3 linked regions of the Stegostoma tigrinum genome follow. The protein of the gene in region 2 purifies or fractionates together with the protein of the main gene of each other region. This does not show direct contact. Links are inferred from orthologs where the notes say so. Each region holds a gene or a part of one and is shown on either strand. Other genes may lie near its edges.

Region 1 (9,931 bases), on a different chromosome or scaffold from region 2:
ATCAGGTCAGCTGTGATCTTATTGAATGACAGAACAGGTCCGAGAAACTGCCAGTCCTGCTCAATGATCGTATGTTGTAGAGAAAAGCAACACGGCCATTCACTCCTTACTGACAGGCAACATTGCTCAGATAATGAAATGTGAGGCTGGATGAACACAGCAGGCCCAGCAGCATCCCAGGAGCACAAAAGCTGACGTTTCGGGTCTAGGCCTGAAACGTCAGCTTTTGTGCTCCTGGGCCTGCTGTGTTCATCCAGCCTCACATTTCATTATCTTGGATTCTCCAGCATCTGCAGTTCCCATTATTACATCATTGCTCAGTTCAGGTTTTATCTCTCCTTAAGAGCTGGTTGGCTGCTATTAACTGTTTACAATTACAATTCAAGTCTTATGCAATTAGTCTGCAAACCGATTTAAATCTGAGACCCTAAGACTGATTCAGGGCACAAGCTTAATATTGTCATATACCTGGGAAATTTAAGCCAGAACTCTGGAAACTAACTGCTGTATTTTCCCCTCATCATCTTGACAAGCCACACAAGAGTGTTCTGTTCATGGGCACACTGAATATAGAATAAATATGTTGAAAAGATCGATTTGCTGACAAGCCAATAAATGATGAAACATACAGCATTCTATAGAAACCCTTGAATGCATTACAGATTTGATAAAATTAATTGGTGCATTGTAAGAAATATTATCAATTTACTCTACCTTTTCATATAAGACTTGCTAATATTCCAGGAAAGCAGTTTGTAATGATAATGTAATTAGATGAATAATCCTGAGGCCCAAATCCGACCTTGGCAGCTGATGGAATTTAACTTGAATTAATTAATCTGAGATATAAAGGTAGTCATTCAGCAAATTAATTTGGGAGGTCAAACTTAAAAGATTCAGTTCATTTGAATCCACTGGCTTGCTCGCCAAGGTCTTGTGGCAATGTCCCCACTCCAGGTCTGGATTCAAGATCCATCTACTAAGAAGGTGTTTCCTAATTTGATTTAAAATAATTTTTTTTACACTTGATCATTGGACAGCAGCAAATACTACCACTTGATATTTTTTCATTTTGTTTTCAGGAATTACATCACTTTTAATCACTGGAAATACTATTGTACCCTTTTAGATAAAGGTTCAACAGATCTGCCAAAGATGACAATTTCTATCACCCAACAGGTAAACTTTTCCAACACTAACAGCAGAATATTTTACAGATGTGGAGAAACTGCCTCTGTGGGCAAGTTACAGAAAATAAAACATGAGCAACAGCCATTTTGTACGAGCTCCCAGCTCTCAAATAAATTCAAACTTACCCATGTAACAGATCTGACTGGCATGATCTGCAACATGATAAGCGGTAAAAAATGCTAACACCAGTCCAACATTCAGTTCTAAACAACACTACTGCAAGTGGATCAAACCAGAGTTTTTCTGGTACTCCCAAGTTCAGGATTCTCTTCAGGTTAACAGGCAGGTTCAGTCAGGAAGGCAAATGCAATGTTAGCATTCACTTCAAGAGGGTTAGAATACAAGAGCAGAGATGTCCTGCTGAGGCTGTATAAGGCTCTGGTTAGACCATATTTGAAATATTGTGAGCAATTTCAAGCCCTGAATCTAAGGTAGAATGTTTCAGAGGAGCCCAGAGAGGATTGACATGTAAGATCCCAGGGATGAGGAATCTGTCACATGAGGAGAGTTGAGGACTCTGGTTCTGTACTCCATAGAGTTTAGAAGGATCAGGGGGAATCTGATTGAAACTTGCAAAATATTGAGACGCCTTCTTATTTTGCAATTTATAATATTTCTCCTACTGCATTGTTTACCCCTTAGGGAGGCAGTGAAGTACTTTTCTTTACTCAGTGTGTGGTAGGGGCGTGGAATGCATGGCTGGAGAGGGTAGTGGGGCCAGTCTCATTAGGGGCATTTAAGCTGCTATTAGATAGGCATATGGATGATAGTATAAGGTAGGGGTGGAAGTTAGATAGACCTTAGGTTTCAGGTAAAAGTTCGGCACAACATCGTGGGCCAAAGGGCCTGTACTGTGCTGTATTGTTCTATGTTCTAATAGTGTTCCAGCTCTACACTAACCTACCCCAACACCAAATTAGCTCAGAAATTTTCAGCATGAAGTACACCTGTAATATTTTATCATAAGAGTTGGAGCGCACTTTCAGAAAGAAAATTTTGTCACCCAAGACTTCTGATGACAAATATAACATTTTTATGTCATCTGTAACCGTTCTATAATTAACAGTTTCCACACAGTTGTCTGGAAGAACAAGTGTTATATAAATGAAAACTGCAACGATGAAGCATTCAACGGACAAACTCAATCAAAATCTTCTGAAATTCAGACATAACCCCTTTATGTAATGAGTTTAATGTTTAATTGTGAACTGCTGAGTAATAGCACCCCACTGTCAGGCTTTTGGAAGACTGATGTGATCTATTTGTCTCTGCTCAAATACTCCTCCACAAGACGTCCATTTTGAATTCCAATTCAGTCACACATAACGTTTCCCAGACATATGCAAGTCGGGGTCCGAGAAAGAATTACTTAACAAGTCTGCAGGTGAGCTTCCGAATAGGGTTGTTTCTAAGCACAGTTATAAACATTCACATGCTATTCTCTACCTCGATACATAGCCCTTACCACAACTCTCCTGACCTAAAAGCCATCAGACAATCCCATACACATAACGTTTAAAAGACATTTAGATAATTTATGAACAGGAAACATTTGGAGGGATATGAGCCAGAAGGGCAGTTTCTGTGCTGTATGACTGTGATTCTATGACATGAAGCAAATTTGGAGAAAGTTAATTTCCTCGGTTTCTGAATTGGAAACTAGCAGCTGTGTAAATTTAAGCTAATCAGAAGAACAAAAGGATAAGATTTGTTTCTTCCTTTGAATAGCACAAAGGATACTCAAAAGAAAACAGGGCTGTAAAGAATCTATTACCATCTTTAAAGAAGGATTAAAAATATTGAAGAAAAAAACTTAAGTAAAGGTACTAGGAAAGAGTAGAAGTGTTAAGCTTTCAGAGGGCCAATACAAGTGTGCCAAGTCTAATGGGCTCTCTTTTCAGGATCTTTATTCTGCAGACTGATGAATAAAAGTCAAACGATTTCAAGGTGATGGACTTCCATGGATGTATGCCTGGGAAGAATCAAAGCTAATTCAATACAGGTTTCATGTAACGGAATAGATCAAAATGTTAATTGTACGTTGAAATTAGTACAATCATGGGTGAAATAGCAAAGGAATCATCGTATAATTTTCCAATACAGTGGCAACCATTCAGTCCACAACTTCTCGGGCTAGATCTCTAAAAGAACTTTCTACCTCATGTAAATATACACAAATACTCATTTCACAAACAGGCATTACTCGGGAGTTTGCAAATATTTCAGAAATGAGAGTTGTAAAAAGGCAGATGTGCTCGATCTTTCAACATCACTATTATTTCTGGCTTAATTAATGCCCACTTACATTCAGGGCATGTAATTTCTTTTTGGAGTGTGGGATAAAAAGTACAAGAAACAAGGGCGCATCAATAATCAGTTCAAAGAAATGCTGGCATAGGAGTAGGCCATTCTGTCCCTCAAACCCGTCCTTACTACAGGTGGTAGATTTCTCAATCAATCACATCTATTTTATCATCTGAAACAAATCAATAAAGTCATCCCTGACCTTCTACAGCCAAGAATACTTTACAACCCCAATATATTTCCAACAACATTTCTGGGCACAAAATCCTGGTACTGTATTCAGACTTGACTTCAAACAAATACTGGTGAATTAATACACTGCTCATTGCATATCTATTCTCTGATGAAGTTTTAGATTTAAGGGGAAGGGTGGGGAAAGATGTCTCGGAACAAAAATGAACGAAGTTATCCCTAAACTGAGAAATCTCTGGCTCCTGCAGAGCCTGGGTCTTCTAACCCACATTATTACACTTGGCTGAGCAAACCAATGTTTGATAAATCAGACCATTTGGGAATTAAATAAAATGGAGTGAGAACAAATTGATATCTGGTAAAACGCAGACTACATCTTCGTAAGTGTTCTAAGAGGAAGGTTCTAGTATTTATGGTGGTGGGGGGGGGGTGGGGGAAGGAAGGTTGCCATTTCATTATTGGCACAAAGCCCCACGTGGATTCTGGGGAGAGCTGCTTCCTGGACACAAAATAATCTTGTCTAAAATTCCAAAGCCTGTAAATTAGAAATAATAACTATCTTGAAGAAATATGAATGTGCCGAGTATAAACGAAGGCACCAACAGGAGGAAAGGATAGTTGTAGCATCAAAGGTTGAGAAATGATCAATTATTTTTCAGCCGTTTATATAAAACTGACAAACGCCTGAGACATGTTTAACGCAGATAACGCGATGGGACTTGTGACCGCAGCCTGGGCCTGTCCTTCTCCAGGATCCTGTGTTCCTCGGGCACAGGGTTAACCGCCTTCTCCCCCGGGGCCTATATCTCACCCTCAGGGACTTCAATCACCCAGCCCCGCTTCCAGGCAAGGCCCAGCCCTTGTTTGTTATTTCATCCGCCTGGGGATCCAGCAGTATCCTTCCCCTCCCGGTTACCTCTCCAGATCGGCCTCTCCCGCTCCGTTCGGCTCCGGGGCCATCGTCACATCGCAGTCTCCGGCCGCCATTTCCCAACACCCGGACCCCGGTACCGACCGGCTTCCGGAACAACGAGGCTTCCACCCGCCGGGCGGGAGGCAAGAGCATCCCTGCGGCATAAACTACTGCAGACCTCCCAAACAGATGGAGGACCTCCACTGGCTGGCCCTGGTACCATCAGCCTGGCTCTGTGACCCTGATGCTGATTATTTACCTGGTACCATCCCTAACAGAGATAATGGGAACTGTAGATGCTGGATAATCCGAGATAAAGTGTGGAGCTGGATGAACACAGCGGGCCAAGCAGCATCTTAGGAGCACAAAGGGTGACATTTCAGCCGTCAGCTTTTGTGCTCCTCTGATGCTGCTTGGCCTGCTGTGTTCATCCAGTTCCACACTTTGTTATCTCAATCACTACCAGATTGACTGTGCCTGTCACCTTGGGATTGTATAGAATCCCTACAATGTGGAAACAGCCAATTCGACCCAACAAGTCCACACCGACTCTCTGGAGAACATCTCACCCGGTTTCGCCTCACCTACATTATCCCTGTAACCCTGCATTTACCATGGTTAACGCGCCTAATTTATGCATCCTGGGCACTAGAATTCAGCATGGCCAATCCACCTAATCGACAATTCTTTGGATGTGGGAGAAAACAGTGCGCCTGGAGGAAACCCACACAGACATGGGGAGATTGTACAAACCCCACACAGACAGTTACCCGAGGCTGGAATTGAACATGGGTGCCTGGCACTGTGAGACAGTAGTGCTTGCCCACTAACCCGATGATAATTGCACTGTTTGGCACCAACACAACCAACATAGATAGTTCTGAAAAAGGGTCACTGGACCTGAAACATTACCTCTGCTTTCTTTCTATAGCTGCTGCCAGGCTTGCTGAGTTTTTCCACCAATTTTTGTTTTTGTAATGGAGACTATGCCTGGTACTGTGGCACTGATGATAACTGCACTTCCTGGCACTAACACAAGCGACGTAATGCGATGTTTGGCAGCAACACTAGCAGTATGTCCCATGTACTCAGCTACAGTGGAAATTATTGATGAGTGATAATGGGAACTGCAGACGCTGGAGAATCCAAGATAATAAAGTGTGAAGCTGGATGAACACAGCAGGCTGAGCAGCATCTCAGGAGCACAAAAGCTGACGTTTCGGTTTTGCTTGCCAACTAGACAAATCATACGTTACATAACTGCTTCAGGGTAATAGTACAGAATTCAGAATGTAGTGTTAAAACTAAAAGAAGGTGCTGAGAAAGATCAATTCTGATATATGAGATGTCCCTTCATAAGTCAGATAATAGCAGGGAAGAAGCTATTCTTAAATCCGTTGGTATGTGATTTCAAACTTATGTATCTTCTGCCTGATGGAAGAGGTTTGAAGAGTATAACCGGAGTAGGTGGGGTGTTTGATTATTATTGGCTGCTTTTCTGAGACTGCAGGAAGTGTAGACAGAGGCAATGGACGGAAGGCTGGTTTGTGTGATGGACAAGGCTGTGTTTACAACTCTCTGCAATTTCTTGCAGTCTTGGGCAATTGCCATACCAAGCTGTGATGCATTGCATGGGATGTTTTCCATGTGAATCTATAAAAATTGTTAACTGTCATTATAGACCTGCCAAATTTCCTTAGCCTTCTGAAGAAGTAGAGGCATTGGTGTGCTTTCTTGACTGTAACTCTGGTATAGACCTCAGCTTGATTTAATTATGTTAACTACATAAAAAAGGCCAAAATTGGGTATTTTTGACTTTTTTTGTGATATATCAATTTTATCTTGCTCCCTTTGTTTGTTTCTCTGAAGGTATTCTGTGGTATTTTTCCAGCCTGGTGTCAATCTTACAATACAATATTCCAGTGCCTTGTCAGTCAAAGTTAAGCGCCTATTTGATTTGAGTGTATCATGGTTAACTACAATTCTATTTGAAATTCATGTTATTGTCTAAATCAGCGAATAATCATCAAGAGTGGGAACCTTGCAGATTTTGTCCTCACAAGTTCGGGGGTGCTGTGGCCTCGTGCAAACCTGGCACTTCTCTAATGTCTGTGACCAAGTTACAAATTCCAATCAAGAGGTCATTAATCTACTTCTCAAATTTGACCCTCACCTGGCAATCCAAAAATGACTGCCACATGTTGTGATTGTGGAGCTAATCAATTACTTAACCTGTATGCAAACACCTGAATTTATGCACAATTTGGTGTAAATCCCTAACAATAACCAGAGGAAAAAAAACAGTAAAACTGATGAATGACACATATGAACCAAATTGTCCAAGATACTTTAAAATGGAGGACCGTACGATCAGTGTAAAACATTTGAGTATTACTTTTTGGTTTACTTTTTTTTATCTGTGGAATGTAGTTTAATTTATTCAATCTCAAAAATGTGACAGTATGCCATTTCATTTTCTCCCATTTAAATTTACGATCATTCTGTGCCAACTTGGGGGTAAACGGGTCTTTTCTGTTATTTGTGAAAGGACTCAGAGAAGGACAGAGGGAACCAAAACCTGTACGAGATCTAAAAATTACAACGCAATTCAGTTCTGAATGTTTGCCTTTTTAAAGCTAGTTCTGGGTTTGCAGACAACCTTTCACTTCTCCAATCTAACTTCAACCTTATTTCTGATCCACGTCTAATTCAAGCTTTCAGTTGTGCACCATTTCATGGATGGGCTGAGATCTGCTCTTATTTACAATTACCTTGTCAACATATTTTGGTGCTTTGAGAACCACCTTTCCTTGCCCTGACCCTGAAGCTATGATGTCCACGCTGACATCCGCTGATATACTTACCAAGTAGCTTTTCTCCACACGTGAACAATTGTTTGTACAATTATGTGATTTTATGTAACTTTAATATATATTGACAACCATGATCCTTTGTATAAACAATTAATTACTTGGGAACCCTACCACCTACAAGATCCCTCCAAACTACAACCATCCTGACTTGTTCCTCCAGTGCGACTGAGTTAGAATCCTGGAACGCCCTTCCTAAATGTACTGTGGTTGGCCCTACATTCCACAGACTGCAGCAGTGCAAGACCGCAATTCAGCACCAGTTTTCAAGGGTAATTGGGGATGGGCAATAATTGGTGGCCTGGGAATGCCCACATCCCATTAACAAATAATAAGCAAAGGGATAAAGGGGTAGTGACAATCCTGTGCAGGTGGCAGCTGTGGTTCTGAAGGTAGCACTCTCACCTCTGAATTAGGTTATAGGCCCAAGTCCAACTCCGGAGATGTAAATGAAAAAAAAATCCAAGCTGGTGTGGTATTGTCTTTCAGATAGTAAACTAAGGTTGCATCTGCGCCATCTGGCAGACATGGTACTATTGCAAAGAGTAGTAAGAGAGTTATGCCCTCCTGTCTGACACTTGGCAATCAATCAAAACTGCAAAAAAAAGACGATCACAGTGCTGTAATTGCAGGTTTGTTGCTGTATCTCCTACTTAGCAACAGGGACAACACTCCAAAATAACTTCATCTGCCATCAAGGCCTTTGAGACGTCCTGTGTGAAAGGCACCTTCGGGGGCAGGAATACATAGCAGCCAGTAGCCAGTGACACCCACATCCCATGAACAAGTAGACAAACATACAAAGATGAAAGTATTCCTTTCCAGCGAAATAAATGCATTTGGCGAAATAGAACCAATATTTACAAAGATAAAATCTGTTGGGTTGTGAGTAATTTTCAAATCCTACCCAATCAAACAAAGTGAGGAAACAAAGGGCAAACTCTCCTCCAGGCCTCTTGAGGGCGCTGTTTGTGGAGCCGAGCCTGAGGGGCTGAGGTAACGCATTCTCCGCGTCGTCTCCTTGTTTGTTGCATGGAAGCAGTGGATGGGCTTGTTCTGAGGAGGAAAGCCTTTGTTTACTTTAATCTGTTCATCTGCCGGGAACAAGTCGATATCAATATTCTTATCTGCTCCCTCACGGACGTCCCAACCGAGTCCCAAGTGAAGTTGCGTCCTCTCAAACCTCTCACTAATTATTTGCAGGTAAAAATATTATCAGCAATCAGGAAAGGGGCTGGGATCTCACTGGGCAGGAAATATTAATCTGTTTATTTTATGTTCATCCTGTTTATGTGTTACACAGTGTTCATCAGCCTTTTAGGTTTGCATTATTTTCAGCTATGGCTCAGTGGTTTGGCCAGTTGGGACAGGAGACTTTTTTTGTATTCAACTTCCAACCCCAGATACTTGAGTAGCAGAATCCAGGCTGATCTGCCCAAGGGCAGTGCTGCTCTGCCAGAGTTGACATGTTTCAGTTGGGTTGTTCAACACCCCTTTTTCCAGGCGGATGTGGAAGATCTCTTGGCAGGGAACTGCTCCCCTTTTGAACATTGAATCCCTACAGCGGGGAAGCAGGCCATTTGGATCCGCACTATCCCTCTGAAGAGCATCTCGCCCAGACCCCTAGGCTGTCCCGGTAACCCTGCATTTTCCTGTGGCTAAGCCCCCTAGGCTGCACGTCCATGGACACGATTGAGAATTTAGCATGGCCAATCCAACTAACCTGCACATCTTTGGACTGTGGGAGGAAACCATAGCACCCGGAGGAAACTCTCACAGACACGGGGAGAATATACAAACTCCACACGGTCACCTGAATCAAACCTGGGTCCCTGGCACTGTGAGACAGCAGGGATAACCACTTTATCCCACAGCCAATATTACTAATTTTTAAAAAAGTGTCTTTTTCTAAAGGCTGGTTTTCGCTATCTCAGTCTCTCGTGTTGAATGCTTGCCTGTCATGGAGACAGTAAGGACTGCAGATGCTGGATGCTAGAGTCAATAAATATGGAGCTCAAAAAGCATAGCTGGTCTTGCAGTATCTGAGGAACAGGAAAATCAATGTTTTGGGCCAAAAACCTTTGTCAGAACTGGGGAGGGGAGCCCAGAAATAAGTAGAGGGACAGGGGGTGGGGGGAGTATATGGCCATAGGTGGATGCAATTAGGGGGTAATTTTGGTTGTTCAGTGGGCAGGGTGGAGTGGATAGTTGAGTAGGAAGAAGGACAGGTTGGGGGTCAGGAGATTTTGAAGCTGGTGATGCAGATGGGTGGTTATTGAGGTTGGTCATTGGGAAGGGTGGAGTGGATAGGTGAGTCAGAAGATGGACAGGTTAGGGAGGAAAAGATTCTGAAGCTGGTGAAGTCAATATTCATGCCCCAAAACAGAATAAAAACCAAAAGAACTGTGGATGCTGTATATCAGGAACAAAAACAGAAGTTGCTGGAACCTCGGCAGGTCTG
Region 2 (9,931 bases):
ACAGATCCTTGGAAAATAGGTGACTGATTTAGGTAGAAGATCTGGATCGGCGCAGGCTTGGAGGGTTGAAGGGACTATTCCTGTGCTGTGCTGTTCTTTGTTCTACTTTCAACCCAATAATGCCATTCATAATCTTATGACGTTCTATCAAGTCACCCCTCAACCTCCTGCGTTCCAATAAAGACAAACCCACTTAATCCAACACTTTCTCATATCAAACATCACCTATGAGTAAACTTCCTGGTAAACCTTTTCTGTACCCTCTCCAAGCAGCCACATCCATCTGGTAGTTTGGTGACTGGAACTGTATGCAATATTCCAAGTGTGGTCTAACTAAAGTTCGATAAAGCTGTAGCATAACTTGCCTATCTGTATACTCAGTGCCCTTTCCAATGAAGGCAAGCATGCCATAGGCCTTTTTTACTACCTTTTCTACCTGTCCTGCCACCTGCAGTGATCTTATGGACCTGCACACCCAGATCCCTCCGCATATCAATACTCCCAAGGGTTCTGTTATTTATTGTATAATTTCCATCTTCACTTGATATTCCAAAATTATCTCACATTTGTCTGCCCATGCCCCCAATTGATCTATATCTTAGATAACAAGGTGTTAACAAGATCCTTTTTCTGAAGATGGGCCGAGGCCCGAAACATCAGCCTTCCTGCTCCTCTGATGCTGCTTGGCCTGCTGTATTCATCCAGCTCTACACCTTGTTATCTCAGATTCTCCAGCATCTGCAGTTCCTACTATTTCTGATCTATATCCTGCTGTGTCTTCTGACAATCATCCTCACTATCTGCAACTCCACCAATCTTTGTATCGTCCACAAACTTACTAAATAATCTTACTAAATAATGTTTTCTTCCAAATCATTTATGTAGTCCATGAACAGCAGAGGTCCCAGCACTCACCCCTGTGGAATGCCACTACTCACAATCCTCCATTCCGAAAAGCACCCTTCTACTGCTACCCCCCAAAAAAAACGAATTAACGAGACATGATCTCTCTCCACACAAAACCATGCTGTCTATCACTAATAGGTCCATTCGCTCCTAAATGAGTGTAGATCTTGTCCCTGAGAATCTTTTCCAATAATTTGCTGACCAGCGACATGAGGTTTACAGGCCTGTAATTTCCAGGATTATCTCTGTCACCCTTCTTAAACAATGGGACAACATTGGCTGTACTCCAGTCCTTGGGACCTCACCTGTGGCCCAAGAGGCCTGTCAATACCCCAGCAATTTGTTCTCCTGCCTTCCTCAATATTCTGGGACACGGGGACTTATCTACCTTAATACTTTTTAAGATGCACAATATCTCTTCCTTCTTAATAGCAACTTGGCTTAGAAATTTGACACTCCCTTCTCTGAGATCATCCTCCATCAATTCATTCTCTTTGGTGAATACTGACACAAGGTATTCGTTTAAGAGATAACAAAGTGTGGAGCTGGATGAACACAGCAGGACAAGCAGCATCTTAGGAGCACTGGCCTGCTTTATTCTTCCAGCTCCAAACTTTGTTAGTTCGGATCCTCCAGCATCTGCAGTTCCCATTATTTCTGTATTCGTTTAAGACTTCACCTATCTCTTCTGGTTCCACACACAGATTCCCTCCTTTGTCCTTGAGTGGGCCAACCCTTTCCTCGGCTACCCTCTTGCTCCATACAGATGTATAAAAATTCTTGGTATTCTCACTGGCATGTCAATCGTGTGGAGGCAGTGAGGGAATATAAACAAATACCTCAGAGCAGGGAATTCCAAAGATTTAACCCTCCCCCTCTGAGTGAAGACGTTTCTCTTCAATCCAGTGATAATGGGAACTGGAGATGCTGGAGATTCCAAGATAACAAAGTGTGGAGCTGGATGAACACAGCAGGCCAAGCAGCATCTCAGGAGCACAAATGCTGACATTTCGGGCCTAGGCCCTTCATCAGAGAGGGGGATAGGGAGAGGGTTCTGAAATAAATAGGGAGAAGCGGACTGAAGATGGAGGGAAAAGAAGATAGGTGGAGAGGACATAGAACAGTCTGGGGAGGATGGACAGGTCAAGGAGGCAGGATGAGGTTGGTAGGTGGGAAATGGAGGTGTGGCTTGAGGTGGGAGGAGGGGATAGGTGAGAGGAAGAGCAGGTTAGGGAGGCGGGGACGAGCTGGGCTGGTTTTGGGATGCAGTGGGGAAGGGGGAGATTTTGAAGCTTGTGAAGTCCACATTGATACCATTGGGCTGCAGGGTTCCCAAGCAGAATTCCAAGCCCAATGGTATCAATGTAGACTTCACAAGCTTCAAAATCTCCCCCTTCCCCACTGCATCCCAAAACCAGCCCAGCTCGTCCCCGCCTCCCTAACCTGTTGTTCCTCTCACCTATCCCCTCCTCCCACCTCAAGCCGCACCTCCATTTCCCACCTACCAACCTCATCCCGCCTCGACCTGTCCGTCCTCCCTGGACTGACCTATCCCCTCCCCACCTCTACTCTCCTCTCCTCTCCACCCATCTTCGGTCCGCCTCCCCCTTGGTCCCTATTTATTTCAGAACCCTCTCCGATGAAGGGTCTAGGCCTGAAACATCAGCTTTTGTGCTCCTGGGATGCTGCTTGCCCTGCTGTGTTCATCCAGCTCCACACTTTGTTATCTCTCTTCAATCCAGTACTAGAAAGCGTGCTGCAAGGTTATCAGTCTGTCCTTTTAAATATCTGAATAAAAACCAAAAGAACTGCAGAATCGGTAAATCAGGAACAAAAACAAAGTTGCTGGAAAAGCTCAGCAGGTCTGGCAGCGTCTGTGGAGGAGAAAACAGAGTTAACAGTTTGGATTCGGTGATCCTTCGTCAGAACAGTTCTGAGGGTCACCGGACCCGAAGTATTTTCTCCTTCACAGACGCTGCCAGACCTGCTGAGCTTTTCCAGCAACTTTGTTTTTGTCCCTTTTAAATATCTGGTAGTTTTCAAATGGTTAAAAATTGTCCCTTTAAATATTTCCCAAGTGAGAAGTTACTTTAAAAGACCAGAAAAAAAGTTTAAATTTCTGCAGGATCCCTACCTTAAGGCTCGCAACACTGGGAGTGGACTGCGACTTTAAATCTCCTACAGCTTTCTCTCTCTCTCTCACACACACACTCTGTGCACATAGGCGGCTCCCTGGCGTTTTGTTTTTCTTTTCCCCTTCTGCGGAAGCTCAGCTTTTAGGTGTGTTTGTTTTCTCGTTAGATGCTTCCCACTCCTCTCTGTCCCTGTTGCTCTCCAAACTTCTCTGAGCCAGCTTCCGCTCGAAATCGGCTGTTGCTTCGCACCCACTTTGGCAGAGCTGCGTGGCAATAGCCCCAGGCTAACTTGGGCAAATCTGGCGAGGAATTTTGCTTGTCCGCCTTAAGGGGAGCCTCCAATCTCCTGGAATTAAGTCGTGGGTAAGTTACTGAGAAAGTGCGGCTTTGCAAGTAATGGGTCGACAACCTTTGTCCGTGTGTATCTGTTCAGTCCCAGCAAGATTATGAGGGAGTTTTAACTCTTATTGTTCGACAACATCGATTTCCATTTTAACAGCAGCCGTTTCGCTCACTGTAGCGCGTTCTACCTTCCTATCCGGAGCTGTGTGAAACTGAAATCCCTGTGAGGACTGACCAACCAAAAGCTTGTTTGAAGAGATTATTATTTAAAGAAGCATTTTGGAGGAGAAAGAAAAAGCAGTTTTAGGAGGGGATTCCAGAGTGGGGGCCCAGGCAGTCACAAATAGTGGAGACGAAGGGAGTCGGGAGGGATGGTCCAGGAGCTGTAGTAGTAGAAGGTGACAGACATCGAGGGGGGTGCGCAGGGGTTGGAGGAGGCGACAGGGGCGGGGGGGAGGAGGCGACAGGGGCGGGGGGGGCGAGGGGTTGGAGGAGGCGGCAGGGGCAGTGAAAAAAAAGTAAACTGGAGTGAACTCTGACCGAGACAGTGAGAATGAAGGAATCTGCTGTTAATTCTGCAGGGGTCATGAATAGTTCAGGTTTGCATGTGGGGGAATGGGGCAGCTGGTCTGGAAGCTTAGTCTTTTCGTTGCAGCAGGGTGGAGGGGAAGGGTTGAGGTTTATGATACTAACTTATTTGTCTCACTCATCTTCCTCTCTCCTGCCTCGCCTTGACTGAGAGTCTGGATAACCTCCAGTTCTGTCTCCTCGCCAACGCCTCAGCTTGTCGCGGGTGGATTCAGGAAAGCATCGCTACTCCTGCTGTTCTGGGCCGCTTTCTCAAATTGGGTTGAATAGTAGCAGCAATCTGAAAGGCTGATGGCCTCTCAGGTCTCTCGCGGAGCTTTGGGGTGGGGTGGAGACATGTTTGCTCTTGTGTAGTTCACCCTGTTCATTCCGGCCACACCCGACCAGCTTCAAGGTGTTGGCAGTGAGCCAACGAAAGGCCCTTTCTGTCTTCTGATGTGTGTTAGGCAGTTCCACTTAAATGCAGTGGGATCCTCCAGTTTTAATTCCTGTGAGAGCCCAGAATCCAACACACATTCTCTTATGGTCAATGAAAACACCAAAATGGTCAATAGCACAGTAACCTCTTTCTGTGGACCTCTCTGACAGCCTCAGTCCTGAGGTCAACACCATCACTCCCACTGTGGCCTATTTACTTTGGGTGGGAAAGTAGCTGGTGTAGAGCCCGTTAACTTGCTGTTTTTTTCGCTGCCACTCTCACTGCTGAAAACGCCCGCAGGGTTAGGTCAAAGAACAGTACAGCACAGGAACAGGCCCTTCGACACATCAAGATTGCACTGATTTTCCCATCCCTTTGCCCACTTGGCTCCTCTAGGAAGGGGTCAGTTCACCTTTCGTCCGCTCCCTCTGGGTCAAAATCCTGGAGCACCATTTCCCCCCCCCACATTTGGCATGTGTTCCCCCACCACAGGGATTGGAACAGCTCAAGACCGTCAGCTTCTTCTGGGGCAGTTAGGCAAGGGCTGGAAATGCTTCCAAGTGTAATCCCCATGTTCTGTGATGAATGAAAAATAATAATGGGCTTTGATCGGGTAAATGAAGTCCAACTGCTTTCAAGAGTGGAGTGGGGGAGGGAAGAAGGTTTTACTCAACAAGGGAAGCAAGAGTAACTTTAATTTCCGAAGTAATTTCTCGCGATCTGGAATAAACCTCCTCACTCTAACTCTCACCGTAACCCCTATTGCAGGTCAGAGCAGATTCGAGAGGAACTTTCAAAAGGTGGTGTTTGGAGAAATAATTGGAAAGGGAGAATTTGCAGAGTTATGGGGGGAGAACAGAGCTGGAACAGGCATGATGGGCTGAGTGGTCTTTTCTTGTGCTGTCCAATTGATGCCAGTGCTTGGAAGTACACAGTGTGTTGTCAGCAAGTCTTCAGGGTGGAATCTGCAGAGCGATCTCCGATCTTTTATCTTAGAGGGATTGCAGGTTGAAGTGGATTGCAGGTATGATTGTGTGTCTGAGTTTCTCTTCTGTTGCCTGATTATGCAAGTTAATACTTGTACATGAATCTGAAATACTGTTCAAAAAAGCACTGTTCGAACAAAGGTCTGAGTGTGCTTCATACTGAGTGAGACGGAGGGAGACTGGAAGAGTTGATATCGCTCACAACAGATCAGAGAGTTGATGTCTGAGTGGTGTGATCATTCAATCATTTGTCTAGAAACACAGGACGTGTCCTTGGGACCTGGTTCACATTTCAACATAGCAGACGGGGAATTTGAATTCAACCCGTTTTGAAATCTAATGGTCAATTGTTTTTTAAAAAATCTGTTCATTCGTGCCCTCACAGTCCTATCTGCCAGCCTTACCCGGTTTGGTCTACGTGTGACTCCAGTCACAAAGCAATGGGGTTGATTGTTGATTGCCCTCTGAAAAGGCAATCTAATAGTTACATCTAGGGACAACTGTGATGGGTGATAGATGCAATGTATGAATGACAAAAACAACATTGTTTTTGATGGAAGGGAGTGGAGAGTCGGTGCTGAGGGAGTGCCACCCTGTCGGAGGGTCAGCGTTGAGGGAGCACCCTGTTGGAGTTTCTCACTGTCATGTGTTGCACTGTTGATAGTAATGCATTTTGGATATGATATAAACCTATGACCCTAATATTAGCAGATGCCTTGGTAGCACTTCAGAGCTGGGGAGTCTCACAGAGGATCCTGTCCTCCATAAATCCACCTCAACCAGAATCAGTGCAAGCATGCCAATCCAATCAACACATCAATGCCACTGCTGGAATTTTGTTTTAGTTTCTTCCTGATATCCTGGCTGGCTCATTTTTTGAGACAATAAGGCGTAGAGCTGGATGAAGACAGCAAGCTGAGCAGGAAGCCCCAACATGGGCACCCAGCAAGGTTGCTCTTGTCTGGCTCTGTCCAAGTGGCATATGGGAGTGTAGATATTCTGTCTGTGACACAGTCCCATTCCACGGCGTTGGAGAAAAGGCATGTCCCCGGCTTTCAGCTGGTGAGGACAGCATCCTGTATATTCCTAGACCTTTGCAATCTGAACAGTGACTGTGGAGATAAACCATGCAGAACCATGTCTCTGTCTGTCTGTTTTCTCACTGTGCCTCTCTTTCTTTCACTCTCGCTGTGCCTCCCTTTCTCTCTCTTGCCATGCCTCTGTCTCTGTCCCTCTCTCTCTTGTTCTGTGCCCCTGCCTGGCCCTCACCCTCACCCTTGCCCCTCTCTCACACTCCCTTGTTCCCTTCGTCTCTCTGAGCTTGTGTTTAAGTTGCCATTGGATTGTAAAATTTGGGTTGTCTCCAAGTGCGAAATTGTCACATTAGTGCAATCTTGACCTGTATTATTCGCCCAAATTACTATCGAGGTCAACATCGCTCACATTTTTCATTGTAAACTGATATCAGTCAGTTTCTCGCTGTCATAACAAGGGATCATAACTTCACATTACTTACAGACTTGTTGAACTTCTAGTTACCACAAATAGTTTTTGAAAGAGCACATACAACCAAGAGTTGACTGTGAATGTAAATTCAGTCATACCTGATTTTAAAAAAGCCCCAAGTGGAACCTATGAAGTGTTACAACTCTGGAGTGAGAGGGAAACTTCAAACCAAAGACTTAAAAGAAAGAGATAATGGAAGTCTGACTATCCCTCTCAGCAAAAAGCCATCTCCTGAGGACTATGCTTCAGCAGGTTATGTTTGGGTCTTACCTTTCCAGGAATACAAGGCTCTTGGTCTGTGTATGATTGTGCAATGACATTTACTAACTTGCTGTGAAGGTTGTAGCTTGAGGGTACGCACCTGCACTGCAGGTGAAAAACATCCCTCTCTCTTACTCTAAGTGGTGGATGCCAGTGAAATTGCCACCAAGCAGGAAATGGGCTGAAGACGTGCTGACTTAGCCTCTTAGAGCTGTACAGTGAGGAAACAGACCCTTCGGTCCACCTTGTCCATGCTGACCAGATATCCTAAATTAATCTAGACACAGTTGCCAGTATTTGGGCCGTATCCCTTTTAACCCTTCAGCCTCATGTACTCATCCAGATGCCTTTTACATTTTGTAATTGTATCAGTTTCTACCACTTTGGCAGCTCATTCTCACCCTCTGCATGAAAATATTGCCCCTTAGGTCCTTTTTAAATCTTTCCCCTCTCTCACCTTAAACCTTTGCTCTCTAATTTAGGACTCCCCTACCCTGGGGTAAAAGACCTTGTCTATTTACCCTTGTGATTTTATAAGCCTCTATAAGGTCACCCCACAGCTGCTGACACTCCAAGGAAAATAACCTCAGGCCATTCAGCCTCTCCCTGTCGCTCAAACCTACCAACTGTGGCCTTCATCCTTGTCAATCTTTTCTGAACCTTTTCAAGTTAACAACATCTTGCCTATCTTAGGGTGACCAGAATTGAATACCTTATTCAAAATGTGTCCTAACCGCAGTGCCCTGAACAGACTGCAACATGACCTCCAAACTCCTCAATGCACTGACCAATAAAGGCAAGCATACCAATTGGCTTCTTTCACTATCCTGTCTACTTGTGACTCTACCTTCAAGGAACCATGAGCCTGCACTCCAAGGTTTCTTTGTTTGGCAGCATTGCCGACAGTGGGGATCCTACCATTAAGCCTAATAGTCCTACCCTGATTTGGCATACCAAAATGCAGCACCTCACATTTATTTAAATTAAACTCCATCTCCACTCCTTGGCTCATTGGCCCATCTGTTCAAGGTCCTGTTGTACTCTTAGATAACCTTCTTCAGTGTCCACTACACCAATTTGCAAATGTACTAACCATTCCTCTTATGTTCACATCCAAATCATCTATATAAATGACAAAAGCAGTGGATCCAGCTGGTCATAGGCCTCCTGTCTGTCTACTACCTTCAAGCCAATTTTCTATCCAAATGGCTAGCTCTCCCTGGATTCCATGAAACCTTGTCTAACACCTTGCTGAAGTCCATGTACACAACACCACCGTAATTCTGCTTTGCTACTTCTTCAGAAAACACAATGAAATTAGTGAGATACAATTTCCCACGCACAGAACTATGCTGTCTATCCCTAATCAGTCCTTGCCTTTCAAAATAAATATAAATTCTGTCCCTCAGAATCCCCTCCAACAGCTTATTCACCACTGGTGTCAGACTCACCAGTCTATCATTCCTGGCTTTTCTTGCCACCTATGTTAAATAAAGTGCACCACATTAGCCACCCTGGAGTCTTCCCTGGCTACAATGGTACAAATATTTCCACAAAAAGCCCAGCACACACTTACCTATTCCAGTTTAATTCCAGCCTCATGTTTGTGTGGAGTTTGCACATTCTCCCTGTGTTTGCATGGGTTTCCTCCCACAGTCTAAAGGTGTTCAAGTTAGGTGGATTGGCCATGCTAAATTGCCCCTAGTGTCCAGGGATGTGTAGGTTAGGTGGATTAGCTATGGGAACTGCAGGAATAGGCTTAGGGGGGTGAGTCTGGGTGACATGCTCTTCGGAGAGCCAGTGTGAACTCGTTGGGCAAAATGGTCTTTTCCACACTGTATAGATTCTATGTCACTGTTAATTTTTCAAGTACTCTAGCTTCCATAACTTCACTATGTAAATACTGACATGAAATACTCATTTAGTATCCTTCTATGTTTTCTTACGTTTAGTACCAAATAAACTCATTGTTTGTCCCCAGGAGGCCTTGTTAATTGGACTTATTTTCAAACATAAATGCAATTGAATTGGGGGAACAGATATCCAGGAGGGAATGAATCCTTTCTAAATTAAGCCCGTTGTGGCTGATTGAGAAGAAAGATTGAATTGAATCACGAGTTGGGGACTGGTGCTTACACGAGCAAGAAGAAAGCACTGTATTGGCCATTTTCAGTCAAATTGTGTTAAGAATCTCAAAGGCTCTGTGATAAAGTGCTCTCTTGGCATCATTGCCAACTTGACTGGAAGTTACCATCACCTGTTCCACCCAATTGATCCTGAATCAAACAATATTGTATCAGAGACAATGGGAACTGCAGATGCTGGAGAATCCGATATAACAAAGTGTGGAGCTGGATGAACACAGCAGGCCAAGCAGCATCTTAGAAGCACAAAAGCTGATGTTCCAGGACTAGACCCTTCATCAGAAAAGCTTTTCTGATGAAGGGCCTAGGCCCGAAACGTCAGCTTGTGTGCTCCTTAGATGCTGCTTGGCCTGCTGTGTTCATCCAGTTCCACACTTTGTTATCGCTGAATCAAAAAAGTTTTGTTTGCTCAAAACTGAACCGAGAGGAAGCTCTGATTTGAAATATGTCAGAAGTCAGCATCTCCCCTGCAGATGGGCTATCAAACATCTTCCTCTGAGAGAGAGGATGGGAGAAACCTCAGGTCCCTCCTCTGGTGACTGCAGCTGTATGGGTTCCAGAAAGTTCTTGCAGCTTGCATGAGCCTAGGCCAGTGAGACTCTGCTCCAGGCCCATCGGGGTTTCTTTGCACTCCCTCAGGATGGC
Region 3 (9,931 bases), on a different chromosome or scaffold from region 2:
CATGGTCATCATTACATTCTTAATTCCAGATATTTTATTGAATTCAAGTTCCACCATATGCTGTGGCAAGATTTGAACCCAGCATCCCAGAACATTATCTGGGTCTCTGGACTCACGGTCCAGCAATACTATCACTAGGCAATTGCCTCCCCTTCACCTAAATGTCTTTTTAACGCATAAGAACATACATTTGTCTCCAATCCTGATTACAAATAACATTCTTTGCAAAAATCATGCAAAAATGCTGATAAACCATAATGATTCATTGCAATAAGTACTCTAACTTTTGTGGAAAGGCTAAGCAAGCTGAATTTGCTTTATTTGTTAAAGGACACTTTGAAGTGATTGAATTGAAGTTTCCAAGGTTACAAAAATAATTTTACAAAGTCATCTGGTGAAATTATTGCCTCTAGCAGGCACTGAAATATCAGAAACTTCATCAGAAATGAAGGGTCTAGGCCCGAAACGTCAGCTTTTGTGCTCCTAAGATGCTGCTTGGCCTGCTGTGTTCATCCAGCCCCACACTTTGTCAAGAATGAAAGAGTATGGATAGCTAATATATAAACCCACAAAACGTTGAAAAGGGAAACAATATTACAACAGCAGGGACTGAATTTCTGTTCTACTGTGAGCATGGGCTTTGTTTGTTTCTGGAGGAAATAAAATTTTCCTCAACAATTCCAACCCCACTCTGTTTCTCTGACCGTACCGAGTTGTCAGGATGTGACACCCACTCCCTCCCCTAATATCACTACAGTTGGTTGACCACTTTAACTCAAATTTCCTCTTGCACACCATTCATGTCTGGTGGCATGACATTTCAGAAGCCCATAAAAGGCAGCCAGGATTGAGTTTTTGTGAAGCAAACAGAAGCTTTCTAGGGAGTGTGTAACATCCTGAAAGGTTAAGTGTAAAGTGTTTCATGCCTCCAAATGTCACATTTAGGTGCTGTATTGCAAAGTAGAAGTGTTTTTAATGCAGTTATTCATCAGTGGGACCCACCTTGTGTTTCCTCTAAACCCAAGTGCCATGCCAGTGCCTCAATTATACCTCAAGATGGAGAACCCATTTCCTCCCTTAATTTACACAACTTTTACATCTCTGTTTCTCTTTCAACACAATTAACAATAATTCAACCAGATGACTTCGTAAAATTATTTTTGTAACCTTGGAAACTTCAATTCAATCACTTCAAAGTCTCCTTTAACAAATAAAGCAAATCCATTTATCTTTTGCGCCAGGCTTGCATACCACATGTTCCCCTTGCTCTTCCTCCATCACTGTTAAAAATATACTAAAAAATTCTAATCGTCTTCAATTCTGAAGATGTTGTACAGGATTCAAACCACGAACACCGTTTCTATCTCTGTCGATACTGCCATAGATGCTGAGTTTTTCCAGAGTTTTCTGTGATCATTTCAGATTTACAATATCCACAGCATTTTCTTTTATCCTCAATAACACTTGCTTTCACATTTCTGTCAGACAATGCGACCTCCAGTTTACCCAAAATTCAATCAAACTGAGCTTTGAAAGTTCTCTTATGACTGTTAGGAACAACCCAGTCACTTGCAGGAAGTCTTTTGTCATTTCTAGTGCCTTGTCATAAATGCAGGACAGAGCCTGCTGTTTCCTTTCCTTGTTTCATGTACTATTACCACACCCAAATCCACGTTGCCTCTGTTTCAAACTGATTTTAGACAAACCCAACATCTCAATGGGGCAGCAGACAAGAAATTAAGCCCTGCTATTCCTGAAGTCATCACCAAAGTTAAAGATATCAAAGTACGCAAAATTCTCCAAATAACCTGCCTTTTCAACGCAGGTTAATCATAAGCATCGGCCATGTTTCCATATTTCTGACTTGTTATTTATCACAAATAAATAGATTCTAGTTAAAAATACGTATAAATGGTCAACATATATCTTGACTGATTAAAACACGAACTCTCTTATAAACTCTGGGGCAGGTAATGGCCTAATGGTATACTTGCTGGACTGTTAATCCAGAGACCCAAATAACATTCTGGGAACCCATGTTCAAATCCCAACGCAGCAGATGGTGGAATGTGAATTCAATAAATATCTGGAATTAAGAGTCTAATGATGACCATGAATCCATTGCGGATTGTTGGGAAAAACCCATCTGGTTCACTGATGCCATTTAAGGAGGGAAACAGCCATTCTTACCCAGTCTGGCCTACATGTTACTTCAGACCCACAGCAATATGGTTGACTCTTAACTATCCTCTGGACAATTCGGGATGTGTGGGTAATGAATGTCCTCTTGAGCATTTCCAGCACTTAACTTCAGATTTTCTGCACCCAATCCCTTTTTGGCTTTGTGTTTCTGTGCAAGTTTTGCTGAAAGGTCATTGGCCAGAAAGGTGTGGCGTTTTGCTTGATTTTTGCTTGCTCTCCACAAATGTTGCTGAGCACAACCAGCAGTCGGATAATTTTAATTTCCCATTTTGTGGTAAAACTTTACGTTGGCATTCAGGTTGTGATGGACTCCCTGGTGATGATGGGCCACAAAGTGTGTGAAATGAGAAGGATCCACCATCTCTGTTCATGTTGCTAATGACATGGCTGGGAGGCCACAGTGACACCATTTCCTCCACAATGTTGATAACTGCTTTGGTACGGCCTCATGCTCCCATTAGGAGCTCAAGCAGTTCATTAACTTCACCAATACCTTCCACCCTGCCCTGAAATTCACTTGGACTATTTATGACACCTCCCACCCTTTCCTGGACCCCTGTTTCCACCTCTAGAAACAAACTTACCACCGACATCCATTTCAAACCCACTGACTCCCACAACTACCTCAGCTACACCTCTCAGCTTCCCTCCTGCAAAAAAAAAAGCTACCCCATACTCCCAATTCCTCCACCTCCATTTCACCTGCTCCCAGGACAAGACATTCTACTCCAGGACATCCCAGATAGCATCCTACTTTTGGGACCATAATTTCCCCTCCTCTGTAATTAAGGATGCTCTCAACTGCATCTCTTCCATTTCCTGCACCTCCCCGCTCTCCTCCATCCAAGGCCACAAAGAATCCTTCCAAATCCAGCAGAGATTCACCTGCACTTCATCCAACCTGATCTAATTGCATCTGTTGTTCCTGATGTGGTCTCCTCTATACTGGAGAGCCAAACACAGACTCAGGGACCAGTTTTTGGAGCATCTGCACTCTGAATGCATCAACCAAGTCGACCTTCCTGTTGCCATCCACGTTAATTCCCACTCCCAGTCCCCTTAGAGATATCCACCTTGGCTCTCTCCACTGTCAGAGAGAGGTCAAAAACCAAACTGGAGGGACAACACCTGATATTTCACCTTGGGAGCTTAAAGCCCAATGGCCTCAGCATTGAGATAATAAAGTGTAGAGCTGGATGAACACAGCAGGCCAAGCAGCATCTTAGGAGCACAAAAGCTGACATTTCCAGCCTAGACCCTACATCAGAAAAGGAGGATGGCGAGGGGGTTCTGAAATAGAGAGGGGGGAGGCAGATCGAAGATGGATAGAGGAGAAAAAGCAGACAAGTTAAAGGGGCAGGGATGGCACCTATAGAGTGGAATGTAGGTGGAGAGGTAGGGAGGGGATAGGACAGTCTGGGGAGGACGGGCAGGTCAAGGGGGCAGGATGAGGTTAGTAAGAAAGAAATGAAGGTGTGGTTTGAGGTGGGAGGAGGGGATAAGTGAGAGGAAGAACAGGTTGGGGGGGGGGGGGCAGGGACGAGCTGGGCTGGTTTTGGGATGCCGGGGGGGAGATTTTGAAGCTTGTGAAATCCACATTGATACTATTGGTTTGCAGGGTTCCCAGGTGGAATATGAGTTGCTGTTCCTGCAATCTTCAGGCAGCATCGTTGTAGCACTGCAGGAGGCCCAGGATGGACATGTCATCTCAGTATGCAAGAGGGAGTTGAAATGGTTCACAACTGGGAGGTGCAGTTATTGCACACCAAACATAGGTCACCGTGAGGCCTCAGCATTGACTTCACCACCTTCAAAGTCCATCTATCTCCCAGCCTTATCCCATGTCCTAGCCCTCCTCCTCACCTCCCTGACCTGACCATCTTCCTACTCACCTAAACACTTCACCCTTCACATTGACCAATCACTGTAACCCACTACCTGTCGTACTGGGGAAACAATGGCCTAGTAGTATTATTGCTGGACTGTTAATCCAGAGACCCAGATAATGGATCAGGGTTCAAGTCCCACCAGGGCAGTTGGTGGAACTTGACTTCAATAAAAAAAAAATTCTGGAATTAAGAGTCTAATGATGACCATGAATCCATTGCTGATAGTCAGGAAAAACACATCTGGAAACTGCCATCCTTACCTGGTCTGGCCTACACGTGACTCTAGACCACAGCAATGCGGTTGACTCTTGACCGCCTTCTAGGCAATTAGGAGTGGGCAATAAATACTGCCTAACCAGCGATACCCTCATTCTGTGAATGAATTTTTTTAAAAATTCCACCTGCCACCCTCTCCCCACCCCAGTCTCGAACGAAGGGTTTCAGTTCACACATTCGCCTTTGCTGCCTCTCAGACACTACCGGACCTGCTGCGCTTTTGAAGCATCACACCAATAGACCCTGACTTCTAGCGTCTGTGGCGTAACGTCTCCAGGCCCCGCCCCCTCCCCCGCTTTGCCGCGCGGCGGTGACGTCAGCGCGCTCTATGTGAGGCCAGGGTCAGACGTCACTTCCGGAGCCTGCCAGCTTGCGGCCGGTGCTCGAGCTTCTTCCTCCCTCTCTGTCACGATGGCGTCGGTAGTGGACACAAAGCTTTACGACATCCTCGGAGTTAGCTCCGGAGCTACGGAAAACGAACTCAAAAAGGTGAGTCACGGCCCGCCGGTGACACGCACGAATCGAGATGGAAAACAATACTCTCCTCCTTAGCCAGTGCCTTTCGGCAAAATTTTAAGGAAACAGCGCACAGCCTGAAGCCTGACCGGCTAGGCCGCTGCCTGGATTGTTGGTGTGTTGTGGGTAGACGAAGTGGAGTTGGGGGAGAAACCGAAGTTCAGCGAATTTAACAGGAATGAACCAAGGATCTGGCCGTTTTCGGTGTGGTTGCTATCAGCAGAGCGGGGCCGCCTCACCTGCCGCCCTTTTGAGGGATTGGAGAGGTGGTTGGGGGGGTTGGGTCAGCGAGCCGTGAAGGAGGTGGGGCGGGGGGGTGGTCTGGGTGTTGGTATTGCCGGCGCTGCTGTCACCGGCGTCCGCTAGCGTTTCCCCTCCCCTTCCGAGCAGTAGCACGCCTGGGATTCGGAAACACCCGGTGGCGCTTCATTGACCGCGACACCATTTTGTGTTACTGCAACCACCATTCCCCCCGACCGGGGGCCTATCTTTGACCGCTACCGCAGCGCCTGGGACATTAGTGAGGCCTTTCAGGAGGGAAGTGATGGTGACGGCGGAAGTGTTTGAAATGTTGCTGATAAAATTAGCCGGGCTGTGATCTAGAAAGGCTCTGGTTAATGTCTTCCGTCGCGACCGGAGAGCTCAAGTGCAAGTAAGTTGTATTTCTGCGAGGTGAATCATAGATACAAAGTGGATCAAACCGAGCAGACCAGTATTTGAAGTCGCACTTTCGTTTGTTGTGTAAATATGTCATTATGTTCTTGAATGATTTGAAAGACATCATAATATTGCTCCAAGCGATGATCGGTAATTTTCGTTACTGTTAGCTGAGGGAGTTTAGGAAACTACGCGCATATTGATCTGTCTGGGACAAAAACAGAAATTGCTGAAGAAACTCAGGCCCAGCGGCATGTGTGGCGCGAATGGCGAGTTAAAGTTTGGGATCCAGTGAGCTTTTCTTCACCCTGTCGACTTTCTTCAGCAATTTGTTTTTGTTTCGGATATACAGCATTCGCCGTTCTTATAGTTTGGATCTGTCTCCATATCGTTTGGAAACGTGGAATTGCAGGTATTAGCTTTCTTGCGTTCTGAACTGAGATGTTTTGAGTATATTTCGTACCTTGCTCTTGAAAGAAAGAAAAACCTACCTTGGGCATCCTTTAATCATTTAGTGTCCTATGCAGAATTGGTATTTAGAATCATGGAATCCCTACACTGTGGAAGTCAGCCATTTAGCCCATCAAGACCACGCCAACCCTCCAAATAGCATCCCGCCCAGACTGATCTCCCTACCTGTAACCCTGCATATCGCATGGCTAACCTACTTCACCTGCACACCCCTGGGCTTAATGGGCAATTTAGCATGGCCAATCTACCTAGTTTGCATATCTTTGAACTGTGGGGTGAAACCAGAGCCCCTGGAGGAAACCCCACAGACATGGGGAGAATGTGCAAACTCCATACAGTCACCCAAGGGTAGAATTGAACCTGGATCCCTGGTGCTGTAAGGCTGCCATACTAAGTGCTGAGCTACTGTGCTATATATTTCAAAGTAACAAAAGGGCAATTGAACATTAGGTCATGGCAGTTTGTTACCTTAAGTAATGACAGCTGAATGTTGCCCTGAAAATTTGAGGCTGCTCTTGTGCTGACCTAACTAATTCATGGAAATGTCAAATTAATTGTGAAACGATTTATTCAATTTTGTTTTGGTGGGCGGGTGTGGGGATTTGGCAAGAGCTACTGCTTACTACTTTGAGACTTTGACTGGCCTAGTCTAAGGAGCTGCTCTTGTGGTCTCCATGGCCATTAAGTCGCATTGCTGTCAGTTATCTTGTAAAAATTTGTTTTTGTGCAAAGCCCCGGAGTCTGGGACTGTTACGGTATACTAAAGCTTGTAGCGCTGGAAGGGTTTGAAACAAAGCAAAAGGAGAGATTTGCATGCTGTACATTTAAATTTAGTTCAACATATTTGTGAATGCATTTCATTGTTTGTCTCTATTTTTAAAAAGAGAGGATGGAATAAAATAATGTGACAGTGTATACTTTTTTAAAAAAATCAAAACATTAATCTTGTGAAAATTCATGCGATATGTAGAAGATATGTTGGTTTACTTTGTATGCGGAACATAGTGGCCTAGCAGAGAATCTTTTCAAGCCTCATGCTTCAATTCTTGAAGGGTTTTGTACAGGAGGTTTCTGCATGGCTTTAGATGTTATTCTGTATCTTGTTAACTACTCTAAGAATGTTAACAAAAAAATTGCAGGTTTCTTGTGTGGGCTTTCCTACTTCAGGCAAATTTTAATGAAAGATCATCCTTCCACAACATGTGCAACCTAGTTAGGCATTGTTATATTGTAGAGGGGGAGAAACCTTTTAAATCAGCATTCCCGTGTGCATTTTCATGTACCTTGATATTTTACATTTGTTCTATTGAATGTAGGTGTTGCTGGCTAGACATTTGACCAGGATTATTTACCTATTCCTAATTGCCCTGGAAAGGTGATGAACTGCCTCCTTCAACTGCGGCAGTCCTTGGGGTGTAGGAACACTGTCTGTGCTGCTTTTTAAATCTGGATATCCTATTTCACGTAGGCGATTCACAACCTTACTTTATTATGCAAAGGTGCATCTTCATCTATCAAATGGACCCTTTTGTTCTAGCAAATATCAGACTCATCTGAATCCTCATCTGTGTATTTGTCAATTACACATTAGAGTAAAGATGACATGTCTTGGCTGACCTATCATTAATGTACTAAAGTCAAATTAATCAAAACTGCTTCATCTATCCTATCTTAAAGTAAACCCTGCTGACCTATTGCTCCTGTCCTTTGCGACCTATGTTGGCTCCAATTTAAAATTCTCATCCTTACATTGAATTTACTTTGTCTTTGTGGATTTCTGTCTCTTTAATCCCACAGTTACCAGCAATCTTCCATCTCTAACTCCTTATCCTTCGCTCCATTATTGGTAGCTAAGCCTTTAGATGAACAAACAACGTTGCTTCCTTTTTCCAGCCTCTCTGCCTCCTGTTCTTACCAAGTTGTTACAAAATGCATAATGTGGTTTGTTACATTTTTATAGTTCATCAGTCACTAAAATTTGCTGTTTGCCCTTATTTGTTATTTGTTCAGAATGTTAGATACTGAGACTTTATAGTATTAAGAGAGTGGAACTAAATGAATGATTTAAGAATTGTAAAAACATTCGTAGAAGTTTGGTTTTTAAAATAAATACAATAAATGAAGAGAAGGATTGGTGTTCTGTGAGGCATAGTACTTGATCCGTGTTTTACACTAGATTATGATAGGTAGTCATTAAAGAACTCAGGTGAGATTAAATAAACCTAGAGAGTGGGAAAATTGTGAACTAATGTAAAATGGCAGTATAATCATGAAATCTCTACAGTGTGGAATCAGTCTCTTCGGCCCAAAAAGTCCACACTGACCTTCATATCAACCCACCCAGACCCATCTCCCTTATAACTCACCTAATCTGCACATCCCTGAACACTAAGGACAATAGATCAAAAATTCACAAGAAAAATGGGATTCGATCTGGAAAGCTGTGACTGACTAGGATATGATAGTGAAATTGCCTGTCTGATGCTGTAATTTTCCATAAGACCCTTTAAGGGTGTTTTAAAATGAACCCGCTGCAGTCCAGTATTTAGAGGAAAGCTGTATATTTCAGTTAATCAAATATACATCTGACAAATGTGGGTTTGTAGAAGCAGCAAAGATACTAGGTTGTGTTTCTTAGCACAAATCCTTGTCTCATTGCAGTAATGGAGAACAAAGTTAATTCTTGTTTACCATCTTCATGGAATTTGTTCTGTGATTTAGATAGTTGTTGAGAAGACTGTATTAGTTTCCCTTCTGATAGAATTGTTTGTCACACAGGCAGATAAGTAATCTGGTTTTCAGCACCTTATTTAGAACTATTGTGTTACTAACTATAATTATATGCTTATCAGTTGTTTGAGTTCGTAGTTGATATAATGCTGCCACTGCGTCAGTGGTAGAGGGAATGAATGTTGAAGATATTCGATGGTATGTTGACACCCCCCCAAAAAAAAATTCAGGCTGCTTTTACCTTGTGATGTCAACCTTCTTGAGTGTTAATATGCAGTCATTCAGGCAAATTGAATATATTCAATCACATTTGGGACTTAGTGGACAGGAACAGGGTGTTAGGAGGTAAGTTAATTGTTTCCAAATTCTGACCTGCTCTTGCGGCCACAGTATTTATGCAGCTGGTACTGTTCAACTTCTGAATGTTAATGCAATGTTAAATGTTGGAAGTTCCATTGAATGATGTGGGGTGATAGTTTCTTTTTTCGTTGGAAATGGTTATGACCTGGAACTTGTGTACGAGCGTTACTTGCAATTTATCGGCCCACATCTGAATATTGTGCTGTCCTTACTGTGTGTAGAGTAGGACTGCTTCGTTATTTGAGAAATTGTGAATGGTTCTGAACATTAATTCTGTTCCCCTGGCACAATTTTCTTAAGAATTTATCTAATTCTTTTGAAAGTGACTATTTAGTACCTTGTTAAGACTTTCAGGCAGTGCATTCCAGATTTAAACAACGAGCTGGGGCAGGAGGGCAGGTTTCCTTATCTTGACTTTGGTTCTTTTGCCTTACTTTTAATTATGTATCCTCTGGTTACTGACTGTTCTACTGCTGGAAACAGTTTCTCCTTTTTTACTGTGTCAAAATTCCTCTAGTAAATCCAACTTCAATAGAAGGTCAGTGATCTGAAAGATTAACAGTTCTGCGTTAACTAAGTTAGGGATTTTGCAGTAAAGTATTCAGATTGAATGGTTCACACTGCATTGAATTGTGAACAATAACCACGAGAATGCAGGCATAGTTGTACACATACTTACTTGTGCTATAGGTATGCAACATTTCATATTTTAATGCACATTTGACAGTTCTGGGATTGAGGTGACTGTTTTCATTCAACCAATCACTGAAAGGTGCGTATTTAATATATTTCAAGTTCTTATTGGTCCAGATTTTGCACTGATAATGGCA

What was found. Proteins that work in one complex are often made in the same cells at the same time.
Region 1: the proteins of pld2 (region 2) and dnajc7 purify together in Homo sapiens (affinity purification with mass spectrometry; 3 studies listed by BioGRID and IntAct, counting the BioPlex papers as one, with this or other methods). This does not show direct contact. The link is inferred for Stegostoma tigrinum from reciprocal best matches to the Homo sapiens genes PLD2 and DNAJC7.
Region 3: the proteins of pld2 (region 2) and dnaja2a purify together in Homo sapiens (affinity purification with mass spectrometry; 3 studies listed by BioGRID and IntAct, with this or other methods). This does not show direct contact. The link is inferred for Stegostoma tigrinum from reciprocal best matches to the Homo sapiens genes PLD2 and DNAJA2.

The regions. Positions count from the first base shown.
Region 1 is NC_081384.1:12,730,731-12,740,661, forward strand, and holds the start of dnajc7 (dnaJ homolog subfamily C member 7), read right to left. Parts: upstream 4,738-9,931; 5' UTR 4,675-4,737; coding exon 4,604-4,674; intron 1-4,603. UniProt on the Homo sapiens protein: Acts as a co-chaperone regulating the molecular chaperones HSP70 and HSP90 in folding of steroid receptors, such as the glucocorticoid receptor and the progesterone receptor.
Region 2 is NC_081398.1:15,719,046-15,728,976, forward strand, and holds the start of pld2 (phospholipase D2), read left to right. Parts: upstream 1-3,114; 5' UTR 3,115-3,404; exon of another isoform or gene 3,405-3,775; intron 3,776-6,304; exon of another isoform or gene 6,305-6,516; intron 6,517-9,931.
Region 3 is NC_081369.1:30,465,231-30,475,161, forward strand, and holds the start of dnaja2a (dnaJ homolog subfamily A member 2a), read left to right. Parts: upstream 1-4,712; 5' UTR 4,713-4,778; coding exon 4,779-4,856; intron 4,857-9,931. UniProt on the Homo sapiens protein: Co-chaperone of Hsc70. Stimulates ATP hydrolysis and the folding of unfolded proteins mediated by HSPA1A/B (in vitro).